Linked DNA regions of Cricetulus griseus. The protein of the gene in region 1 interacts with the protein of each later gene in a pairwise test. Links are inferred from orthologs where the notes say so. Each region holds a gene or a part of one and is shown in the gene's direction. Other genes may lie near its edges.

The links. The genes of interacting proteins can lie anywhere in the genome.
Region 2: the proteins of Usp13 (region 1) and Trim55 interact in a two-hybrid assay, tested with the Homo sapiens proteins (2 studies listed by BioGRID and IntAct). The link is inferred for Cricetulus griseus from reciprocal best matches to the Homo sapiens genes USP13 and TRIM55.

What each region holds. Positions count from the first base shown.
Region 1 is NW_023276806.1:116,474,202-116,479,800, reverse strand, and holds part of Usp13 (ubiquitin carboxyl-terminal hydrolase 13), read left to right. Parts: intron 1-1,159; coding exon 1,160-1,282; intron 1,283-1,811; coding exon 1,812-1,838; intron 1,839-2,598; coding exon 2,599-2,742; intron 2,743-4,819; coding exon 4,820-4,977; intron 4,978-5,599. UniProt on the Homo sapiens protein: Deubiquitinase that mediates deubiquitination of target proteins such as BECN1, MITF, SKP2 and USP10 and is involved in various processes such as autophagy, endoplasmic reticulum-associated degradation (ERAD), cell cycle progression or DNA damage response.
Region 2 is NC_048595.1:150,883,395-150,889,604, reverse strand, and holds the start of Trim55 (tripartite motif-containing protein 55), read left to right. Parts: upstream 1-2,612; coding exon 2,613-2,780; intron 2,781-3,275; coding exon 3,276-3,448; intron 3,449-6,210. UniProt on the Homo sapiens protein: E3 ubiquitin ligase that plays an important role in regulating cardiac development and contractility, muscle growth, metabolism, and fiber-type differentiation.

The sequences.
Region 1 (5,599 bases):
ACTCGTCCTTAAAATTTAACTTTTCAGACTTAACTTTTGTTCTTGGGTTATTGTTTTATTTATACTTATCTGTTTATTTTTTGAGGCAGGATATCATGTATCCCAGGATGGCCTTGAATTTACTGTGTAGATGAGGCTAGCCTTGAACTTCTGATCTACCTGCTTCCACTTCACAAGTTCTGTGTTTACAGCATGTGCTACCATGCCCAGCCTGCTTGGTTGTCTTAAGTAGGATTTACATATCTGGAATCATTTGGAGGCAGTTATCCTTCAGGCCTGAAGGACATAACCCTGAAATTGTAGTTGAACCCACTTCTGTTCCTGTTTGCATAGATGCAGCACTGCATCTCAGATGCTATTCGGCTTGTAAATCTTGCATTTGAGTAAGTCAAATGCAATAGCAACTGAGCCGAGAGGGTTTTGTTTTTCCTCACAGAGCGTCCAGGGATAGACACTTAAGATTCAGTCAAGTTCTTTTGAGCTTTATAATTCATAACTTACAATCATTACAGTATCTGCCACAATTTGAAAAAAGTATTAGGTAGGAGTTTTCAAACCCAAATGTGCAACAAGGATAGGGAAGCAAAAGGCAGGAAAGAAGAGCTGCCGGGTAGAGGCCTACACAGCCTCCTCTCATGGTGGGCTCCATTGTGTGTAATAACATAGTTCAGAAAGACATCCTCTCCCATATGCATGATGTGCATGTTTGGGACAGTCCAGAGCTGTGGGGTCAGTGTGAAATGGTCACAGAGGCCACCATTGTCCAAAATAGAAGTTAAAGGGAAACCCAGACTGTTTACATGGGAGAATGTGCTGCAGCTTCATGGTTTTTGAAATCCAGAAGTCTAAATTTTAAATTTAAATCATGTCCATATTTTAAGAAACACAAAATGGAATGAGTCCAGACCACAGATAGCCTGGTTGCTAGTCTGTGAACACTGGCTTATCTGACCTATTGCTGTCCAGTGTGATGCCTTTGTCCCACCACTCTCTGCCCTTTCCCTGAGCCCTCCATTAACTTTCATGTGGCTTGACAAATCTGCTGTGCTCTGTGTCCCTTAGGCTGCCAAGATACATGCATGCAGTGAACACATGCAGATTTATAATGAGCTGATTTGGGCTCTAGAGAGTCCAGTGAATATAATCTTTTGTTTTGCAGATGTTTCTATTGATATGCCAGACCTACTAGATATCAGCCATCTTAGAGCCAGGGGCTTACAGCCAGGAGAAGAGGAGCTTCCAGACATCAGTCCCCCTATAGTCATTCCTGATGACTCAAAAGGTACCATTTCCTACTGGAAGGATACTCTTTCCTTACCACCCTCTTCCAGCCAGGAGGAGTTACTGTTTCACCATTAAACTGCTCCCTGTCTTTGACCTAGACACATAGGAATGAAGCATGGCTGCAACTGTATACTTCAGACTCATACACTATGAGTCATTGATTTGGGCCCTGGTGGCAGAGGCTCCTGAAAGGGCTTACAGACAGGTAGTGGTGAGCAGTAGGGAAGCCAGGATGGCTTTTCATACTTCCCCTATAAATCATGTCCAGGCCAGAAACCTTGCTCTTGGAAATAAATGCAAGGATTGAAATTATTTATCTCACTGAGATGTCAAAACTTCTTGTTTTATTTGCCCAAAATCTGCTGTTTCCCCTCATTACTGTAATTAATGAACTGTTTTGCAGGTAGTGTGTGTGGGGTAACCAGGAGTGAGAGGGTCTGGGAATATCCTGGACTGATGCAGTTTCTTTTTTCTAAAACTATTGGTGGTGGCTAGCTCTTATTTATCATCTGTTCTTTCATTTCCAGATCGCCTGATGAACCAGTTGATAGACCGTAGGTATCTTTAAAAGTGTTTTTTGGTGTCTTACAGTTGTTGCTAGTATGATATGTTTTAAAGATTTGTTCATTTTTATTTATACATATGGGTGTCTTGCCTGTGTGCATGTCTGTGTACCATGTGAATGCCTGATGCCCACAGAGGCCAGAAAAGGGTGTCAGATTCCCTGAAACTAGGGTTAGAGAGGGTTGTGAGCCACCATATGAGTGCTAGGAACAGAAAAAACCTGGGGCCTCTGGAAGAGTAGTAAGTGCTCTTAACTTCTGAGCCATCTCTTCAGCTCATAGTGTAACTTTTTTTTTTTTTTTTAAGTAGTAGTTCAGCAAAGTAGCATTGTTCTGTCCTGGATATATGTGGTTGTTCCTGGGTGGAACTGTCTGTAAGTTGAGTAAGCAACAAATGTAGACCAATGAAATGCTGCTTAAGTATCCCTTATTGCTCAGGAGGATTAGTGTAGGCTTGAAAGCTTGCAGTCCTGTGGGGTTTTGCTGCTTAGGACTGTGTGGCCTGGAACAATTTGTTTCTTATTCTATAGGCCTCAATTACCTCATTTGTAAACTGAGGTAATAATACCATTTTTTTTCTCATGAATAGCTCAATAGTTAGATGACATAAAAAGAAGTCAAATTAAGACCCAACAAAATGGATCTGTCTTCAGGTAGTCTGTAGATTAGATAAGGGGTTGAAGAGTAATGAAGACAGGAGGAAGTGGAAAATTCTGTTTTTCATGGTGGGATATCCTGCTGTGCTCTGTAGCCTCAGACATTGATGAATCCTCCGTGATGCAGCTGGCTGAGATGGGCTTTCCTTTGGAAGCCTGCCGGAAGGCTGTGTACTTCACTGGAAACACTGGAGCTGAGGTGGCCTTCAACTGGATTATCGTGCACATGGAGGAACCTGGTAGGTGGCCATATGGGAGTACTTTGGAGTTCATGTCCCCAAGGATGTGTCCCCAAAGATGAGTTTTCAGATGGTAACATGCTACTGTTTGGGCAAAGTCACAATCTTAATCTCTTAAACAACAGCTTTCTTGGAATAACTTCCTCCTTAAAGGTGTCCACACTTCGTTGACCAAAAGATCATTAGAAAGATGTGGTGTTTATTTTAAGCTTGAAATAGAAAACTGAAGAAATGGAGGCCCTTTCCTCAGCTTCTTCTTTTGTCTACTTTCTGAAGATGTCATTTATATATCCACCTATCAGAAGTGTACATTCACATGGATTTTAGTCACTTTACAATTAAGCAACTGTCTAATTCTAGAATATTTTTGTATAACAAAAGAAATGCTAGATAGGAGGTATCTTGGTGGTTTGATTGTAATTGGCCCCCATAATCTCATAGGGAGTGGCACTATTAGAAGGTGTGGCTTTGTTGGTGGAAGTATGTCACTATCTGGGTGGGCTCTGAGGTTTCCTATGCTCAGGAAGCTGCCCAGTGGCTCAGTCTACTTCTGTTGCCTGTAAGATACAGCACTTTCAGTTCTGGTACTGTGTCTGCCTGATTGCCTCCATGTTCCACCATGATGATAATGGACCGAATCCCTGGAACTATAAGCAAGCCACCCCAATTAAATGTTCTCTTTATAAGAGTTGCTGAGGTCATGGTGTCTCTTCATAGCAATAGAAACCCTAATTAAGACACTGCCTCTCCCATGTTCTTACTCTCTCCAGTGCTTAATCTTCACTAATCTACTTTCTGGGTACCCTACAATTGTTATGAATTTGCCTATTTTTGATAATTCATATGAATGGAATTGTACAACATGAGGCCTTTTGTGTCAGGTTTCTACCGCTTTTCATAATGTATTTAGGGGTCTTATGCTGTAGCATGAACAGCACTTCCCTTTTATGGCCATGTAGTGTTCCATGTATAGCCATACCACAGTCTGCCCTTTTATCAGAGGATGACAGTCATTTGGGTTTTTTCTGCTCTTTGGTGTTTATTAATGGGGCTGTAAACATAAACTTTTGTGCATATATAGATTTATGATTTTGTTTCTCTTGAGCAGAATTGATGTAGTTCTATATTTAACTTTTTAAAAATTGTCAATTTTACCCAGTGGCTGAACCATTTCATACTCTTACCCATGATGAATGAAGGATTCAATTTCTCTGAATTCTCACCATTAGCAGTTTTGTTATAGTGGCTTCTGGGTGTACCATGGTGGTCACTGTGATTTCAAGAGGTATTTCCCTACTGACTAATAACACTGTGGGTATAATTAGTTCTTTGCCTTTTATTGTTAAGTTCTAAGAGTTCTTTTTAAATTTTAGATACAGGTTTCCTCTCAGACACATTTTTTTTTTCTTTTTTGGTTTTTCAAGACAGGTTTCTCTGTGTAGCTTTGGAGCCTATCCTGTCACTCGCTCTGTAGACCAAGGTGGCCTCAAATTCACAGAGATCCACCTGCCTCTGCCTCCTAAGTGTTGTCAGACACATAATTTGCAGAGATATTTTTCTGTTCTATGTCTTCACTTCTTTGATGATGTCTTTCAAGTAGACAGTTTTTCAATTTTGATGAGGTATGATACATCTACTTTGTTTTATGAATTCTACTTTCTGTGTCATATACAAGGGATCATTGCTTAACCCAATGTTACAAAGACTGAATCTTGTGTTTTCTCTTTTAATTAAAAAAAATTAAAATTATTTTAATTAATTTTTAAAATTAATACTTTTAGTTCCTGTGTTTAAGACAATGATCCAGCTTGAGTTGATTTTGTGTTACATGAGGAGGAACCTCTGTCTTTATGGTTTTGTATGCAAATAGCCATGTCTTTCCCTGCTGAAAAGTCTGCTTGGAAATCACCTGTCTTTGGACTTTCTAATGCTGTTAAATCGACTGGTATGTCTAGCCTCAGATCTGGTTCTAGGATCCCTTGATTATACAGTTTTGTATATTTTTCCACATTTCTTCTACAATGTTTGTTTTCAAGGCAAAAAGCCAGAAAAATTTTAGTACAGTTATTTTTCTCAGATTTTGCTGAACCCTTGGCCATACCTGGGTATGGAGGGGCTGGAGCCTCTGTATATGGTGCTACTGGATTGGACAACCAACCTCCTGAGGAAATTGTAGCTATCATCACCTCCATGGGATTTCAGCGCAATCAGGCAGTGCAGGCCCTACGAGCAACGGTGAGCATTGGTGACTATGAGTTAGGGAATTCTGGCCTTGCTGGAGGTGGTTTCAGTTTGGTCCTTGGCAACAGAGACCTCCCAGTGTCCTTTGGTCATTCCAAGTTATTTTTGACTGTGTCCCATCACACTTCATGAAGATTTTTCATGTAGTATACACAAAACTAAACTGAATGAATGAGGTACTCATGTGGTGAGCTTAGGCATGAGGGGGTGTGGAGCTGGAGCAATATGACCAACATCTTGAATGTTCCATAGCAGGGCTCACAGGTCTGCTTGGAGTTTGCCAGCTTCAGAGCAAAGAGGGTGCTAAGGTTCTGGTTTGGTAAGAAAGTATTTAAGATGAAATTATGCTGTTTTGATATCTAGATCTTGGAAAAATATGTCTTGAAGATCCTTGTAAAAAGTCCTTGGGATTTTCTACCACTGTTTTCCTCAGCAGAGTGGAGTTTCTTCTGTAGTTATGAATGTCTCAATTCAACAGGAGGGACTATGCAACAATGGGTTGGTGGTGTAGGTATTTTTTAATGGTCAGGGAAGTACTCTTGCTAAAACCCACCATCCCTTGTCATATCAGAATTCATTCTGAGTGGCTGTCTGCTCCCAAGTCCTTTTGCCTGAT
Region 2 (6,210 bases), on another chromosome or scaffold:
GTCTTAAGTCTGAAACTCCCAGCGGGGAGCCTGAAGCTAAGCCGACCCTCACCGAGGGAAACCGGCCTGTGGATAAAGCAGGAGGTGGACGTTGAGCCGCTGTAAACGCAGCCTCCAGTTGTGCCGCTCGATCAGGAACCAAGGCCTAGGGTTGGTACCTAGGGTCGTACAGGCGACCAGCTTCGGAGAGGCTGGGAGTGACCTCCAGGAAGAAACTGTGCTGCGTGGCGTTGGCTAAGGACCAGCACGGAGGGAAAACTGAAAATCAAAAATAAATAAATAAATATTTGGAAGTTGATTTAGACTCCCCTTGTACACACACACACACACACACCATACTCTGAAACCAACATTTAGATAGTGACATAACACTCACACTTTTTTTTTTTTTTTTTTTTTTTTTTTTGTAATCGGTTATCCCTCTCCAATGGCAGAATTGTTAGCCTTGGGGATCACAACGAATCATAATTCATTTGTACATTTTAGACTCCTGGGCAACTTGGGTGCTTTTGTTTCCAGTGTATACAACCTGCTGCAATTCATTGCTGCTTTCCATTTTCTATATTTCCATTTTTAATCTCACTTTGTTATTTTCAAAATATATTAGTTAAAGACTGTAGTGGTTAATCTTGGTTGTTAACAATTAAAGACACCTAGAAATTTGTCAAGTACCTTCTGGGTATGATTGTGAGGCTATTTCTAGAATCAACTCATATATCAGTTTTCAGATTGAACAAGTAGGACCCACTCTGAATTGTGGGCAGCTGGAATTTAGGAATAAAAAGAGAAAGAAGGGGGCATCCATATTTGTTTGCATACTGGACTTTTTTGGGGTGATTCGGTGTTTGCTGCTGTCATCCCCAGGCCTCAGGCATCAGGCTTCCTGGCTATATCACTGCTCTCTTGTTCTAAAACTTACAGCTTCTTAAATAAAAAAGATATTGGTTTCTGTGTGTCTCTAGTCTTTAGAAGGCCATTGTAGAACTATACAGCCTTTGGTCATGTGTCATCCCATTTGGTCAACCAATAACCAAGTGTACACTGGGGACTTTTTGTGTTTTGTTTGGGATTTTTGAAATCATAGGGAATAAGATAACAATTTGTCACTTAAAAATGACATGAATTTTTCTTTCGTTTTTCTATCTGATTTAAAGCTTTCTGTGCAATATGTATCAATTATGACTTTTACAAGTCCCTGGCAAATGTCAGAATTTGTGTTTATAAGACAAGAGTAGACCAAGAACACCAGAAATTATTAGTGACATTATCATTTTTAAAAGGACCTTGGATGAAGGGCAAAATACACAGGCATTTTAGGTGCAGATTGGGCAGCATATAGTACTCTGTCTTCACTCCAGCTGTAGAAGGCACTGACATCTTCCTCCAACACATGGTGAAATGCAATTATAGCATGCAATCCATATGCCAGCTGTTATCCCATTGAGGATTACTGCTGTAAACTAAGCTAAACTTTTAAGAGACTGTCACAAATTTTCTTTGTGTCTTGTACTGTACGTGGGGTGGGAGGTACAGGATAAAAGTAGGAAGGAGAGCAACGTAGTCAACAGTTCGGTTAACTTTTTGGGTCTTGGGAGATGGCTCAGTGGATAAAATACTTGCTATACAAGTATGATGACTCCAGTTCAGATCCCCAGAGCTCATCTAAATGCCCGCTGGATGTTTAATTCCATGGAAAATAGAGGAAGACCCTAATTAAGCAAGATAACTTGCTAGACTGGTCCTATCAGCCAGGTTTGGCTTTAATTGAGAGATCCTGTCTCTACAGAGAAGATGGAGAGTGATGCAGGAAGCAGCCACATGCCTGTCCACACATGCATGTGCACAACATGTTCACCCTACACATGTGACTATGCACACATACACATAGACATGTGCAAAAAGAAAAAGCTTTTGTAGATACTTTTATGGTGATAAGGTCTTGAATTACGCTTTTAAATTGCAATTTCCCCTACACCACAATCGTGGCAAAAATGAAAAACTTAGTATCAGGAGTGCCCTGTGAGGTCAGGATGGAGATCTGCAGAACAAGTTCTGCTTGCTTGCAGCTAAGAAGTTGCCATTATGTTACTTCGGGTTTTGGCGCTTGTTTCCTGTCTGAAGTAACAATGTTTCTTATACAGTTACACTGTAGGGCTGCATTCTAAAGGAGCCTGTCACCAAGTTCTTTCCAAGCCCTCACTGAGGGCATGGCTCAGAGACCAGTCATGTACATTTGCATTTGTTGTTGACAACTGTGGACTGTAGACTGCCCTCCCTTCATAACCCCTGCTAAATGGGACTTGTAATCCCCTTCCCACCCACTCTCTTACTCCCTAGAGCAAGAATGTTGACTCCTGCTCTCTGTCACCTGTCAGAATCCATCCTCCTGTCACTGGCTTATATGGTCAAGTCAGTCCAGGGCCATGTGACCTTGGGTTGCTAAAAACAGCTCCATCACCCACTCTGAACCAGGGCCTGCAACAATGTCCTCCATAGAGAGAAACATAAAGGACACTTGATCTTACAGTCCTTGGAATTATTTCCAGGAAACACTTGCAGAAGCCGTTTGGGAGCACCAGTCCCCTGGCAGCACACTCAGCGACGGCCAGGAAATGAGCGCTTCTTTGAATTACAAGTCTTTCTCCAAAGAGCAGCAGACTATGGATAACTTGGAAAAGCAACTGATATGTCCCATCTGCCTAGAGATGTTCACGAAGCCTGTCGTCATTCTCCCCTGCCAGCACAACCTGTGTAGGAAATGTGCCAGTGATATCTTCCAGGTAGGTGTGTTTGGAATTCAGAGGGTGTCGAGTGTCCCTCCATCCTGTTTGAAATCAAAGGCGGTCCCCTTAGAGAGCTCTCCAAGGCTGTTTCCAGTGTGTTTGAATCATTTTCCCAGGTTTGGTTGTCAGCTTCCTCCTTAATTCCAAATCCAGTTGTGTTTTCATTCTAAGAACCGTATTTGTCATTAGTAAAACAAAACAGATGTACTGACTATGTTTAAAAATTGAAAATGAGCTACTGGTCAGAGGATGAGTGTTGGAGCTTCTGGTTGAAACTTTGGGTTATGAAAACACGGGATAGAAGAATGCTTCTTGCTAAAGAGGGGACATTGTAGGTTTGGCTGTGGATCAGGGAAGGCCTGTGTTTCAGGACCACTTGTAGTAAGCCCTGAGAGTCAATATAGTGCATGGTGTCAGAGAGTGAAAATAGTCTCCAAAAAGCTCCCCATGGGGCATTACTCAGTTCCTTTTTTTCTTGCTTGGCAAGAACAGGCCTCTAACCCATACTTACCCACAAGAGGAGGCACCACGGTGGCATCAGGGGGTCGATTCCGCTGTCCCTCCTGCAGACATGAGGTGGTGTTAGACAGACATGGGGTTTATGGACTTCAGAGGAACCTGCTCGTGGAAAACATCATTGACATCTATAAACAGGAATCCACCAGGTAAGAGCTATTCTGAGAGACAAACCTACTGGATGCTTTGTCTAATTGTTTTCAGCTTGATGGTCTGATGCACTGCATGTTCGTTAGCAGTCACAAGTTAATTGTTCCTTAAAAGGCTTTTCCATGTCAGTCTTTCCCAATGAGATGGAGTTGCTCATGGAGGAAAGAAGGGAGCTGGTGTGCGTGCCCTGTGTCATCAAAGGTAGTCATGTTGAAAGAGGTGTGGTGCTGCCCACAGCCTTGTATTACATTCATTTTAGACACATTGCAGGTTCCTTGTAAGTCCAGATCCTATGCTACAGAAAAACTCTAGCACAAACATGCACATAAGGGAAGCATCACTGTTCAAAATCCCCTGGCTCCTAGTGGCCTTGCCTTAAAAATGGTCTAAGCAACAGTAACACCTAAAATTTAAAAACACTCTGACCTCATCATTTGTCCTAATATCGGCTCTAATAGAATGTTCAAAGCAAGATATAATGCTGGTGTTCAGAAACTTCATTTACAGACATGGGAGAGGGAGTACATTTCAGGCTGTTTCTCTATTAGTGCATACTCTTAGCATCTACTTGGTGATTGATTGGTGTGTCATATGCATCCATTCATTAAAACATTTTTAAAGGCCTCTTATTATCACCCACATAAGTTATACAGTTCCTTTCCTAGAGATGAAACTGCAGAGTTTACTCCTAGAAGGCATGTTGAGAAGAGTCCTAACTCAATTCTACACAGGTCATTTGAGTTCAAAACGTTAGTATCCATATGGAGATCGTTTAGAAATGGACCCTCTGTGATCCCTAGCATCTAGGGCATGTGTTTATAGAACATCTGCAGGGCTGCAAATGCCTTGTACTCTTTGCAGGAAGGTTGCTCCATTAATCTAACATGTAATTATTGTGATTATTATGCCCATTAGTTTCTGCTCAAGATTCAGAGCTAAATTAGATAGCACCAGGCTATAGATGGGATCGAGGAAGAATTGCTGATGACATGTTGCAGCCACCTGTTTCCCTTGCTTCCAAATCTTTTGACAAGAAGGAAAGTGTTACCAGAGTTGCAGATCTGATTGCATCGTATTTCATTGTGTTAATGAAATGAATACATCTACAAAATGCTCCCACACCTCGGGCTCAAGGAACATTGCAGAAGAAGGCATGGAAAGACTTTAAGAGCCAGCTGATCAGGGAGCTTGCTATAAGACTGTGTCAGAAGCTATACCCATAACTGACCCCCACCATGATTGCCTAAATGTGAGCTGAACAAGGACGACAACAGACATGCCAAAATGGGTGAGGAAAAACCCCCGAGGCTTCAAACCACAAAGAACTACAGGCAACTAAACAATGTTGAGAGTGGAAGGAATAGTCTTTCCTAGCAAAGAGCATAAAAATTGGTTACACAATTTCAAATGGTCAGTCCTGAAAACATAATAAGAGTAACTGAGCAGGATTTATTTATAAATAAATAAATAAATAAATATGTACATGTAATAACAATTTAAAAAGAGGTCATGAATTTGAAAGAGAGAAAGGAGGGGTAAATGGAAGGGTTTGCAGAGAGGAGAGGGAGAAATGATGTGACTATATTATGATCTCAAAAATAAAAAAGGTCAACCACACGTTGTCTCCTTAAGAGATTACCATGGCAACTAATAACCAACCAATTATTAAATGGCAGTTATTCAACTATGGTTTCAGTGTCATATACAGTGCCTTCCCAGAACAGGAGCTCCACAGTGCTAGCTCCTTAAACAGAACAAAGAAATGCACCACTGTCAGGCTTCTGGGTTCTATTTATTACAGTTATTTTTTTTTTTATCTCACCACTCACCTAGTTGGAACTTCAAACATAAACATAATAGCATTTGCGATGAAATCTAGAGGACAGGAAATATTAAAACTTGTAGTGTTAGTACAACTACAAGATATAGTCTTGCCTTAATCATGAAGTCAGCCTGATACTCCTTCAGAGGATGGGAAACAAATTATACAAAAACAATGAGCCAAATTGCCACTACTAAAGCAAGAGCCATCAGGAATAGGGATAATTTTGTAATTATAAAATTCTTACATTGTTTCTTAAACTCAAGTCACATTGGGATGTTTTTACATGGTAGTTGCTTAAAATGGCTTAGTCACATCAAATTGAAGTTGGGAAGTTATACCAGACATGAGCCCCAAGCCATGGGATATATTCAACAACCTTAGAATACAGAATAAGATAACCCCAGCTCTAGTCTTTGGCAGTGTCAACAGAAAGGGAAAAGGCTGCTGTGATAGACTTTGAAGTATCATTCAACTCTGTCCTCTTACAGGATAGCTACAGTCATGACAAATCCTAGCCTTAACTAGCATTCTTCATCGTGATACACTAGCCACAGTTTGGGCTGGGCAAGGGAAGACACTAACTTGGTTAATATTATTATTGAACATAGTGATTAATTTGTTGATATAATAAGCAAAATGGCTTTGTATTGTGTGTTAGACTCTGTTCAGATGCTTTACCTGTGCCCCAGGTGTGATTCTTTAATGTTCCCAATGGTCCTCTGAGGTGGATTTTATTATCACACTATCAAAATTTTTGAATGCTTGTGTGTGTATGTGTGTGTGTGTGTGTGTGTGTGTGTAATGCATGTGTGTATATTCATGTGTGGGCAGGTGTATGTGCACATGTGTGTGAAGGCCAGTGTCTGACCAGATGTTCTGCTCTGTTGTGCTCCATGTTATTTTTTAAGGCAGCATCTGTCACTGAAATAGGAGCAT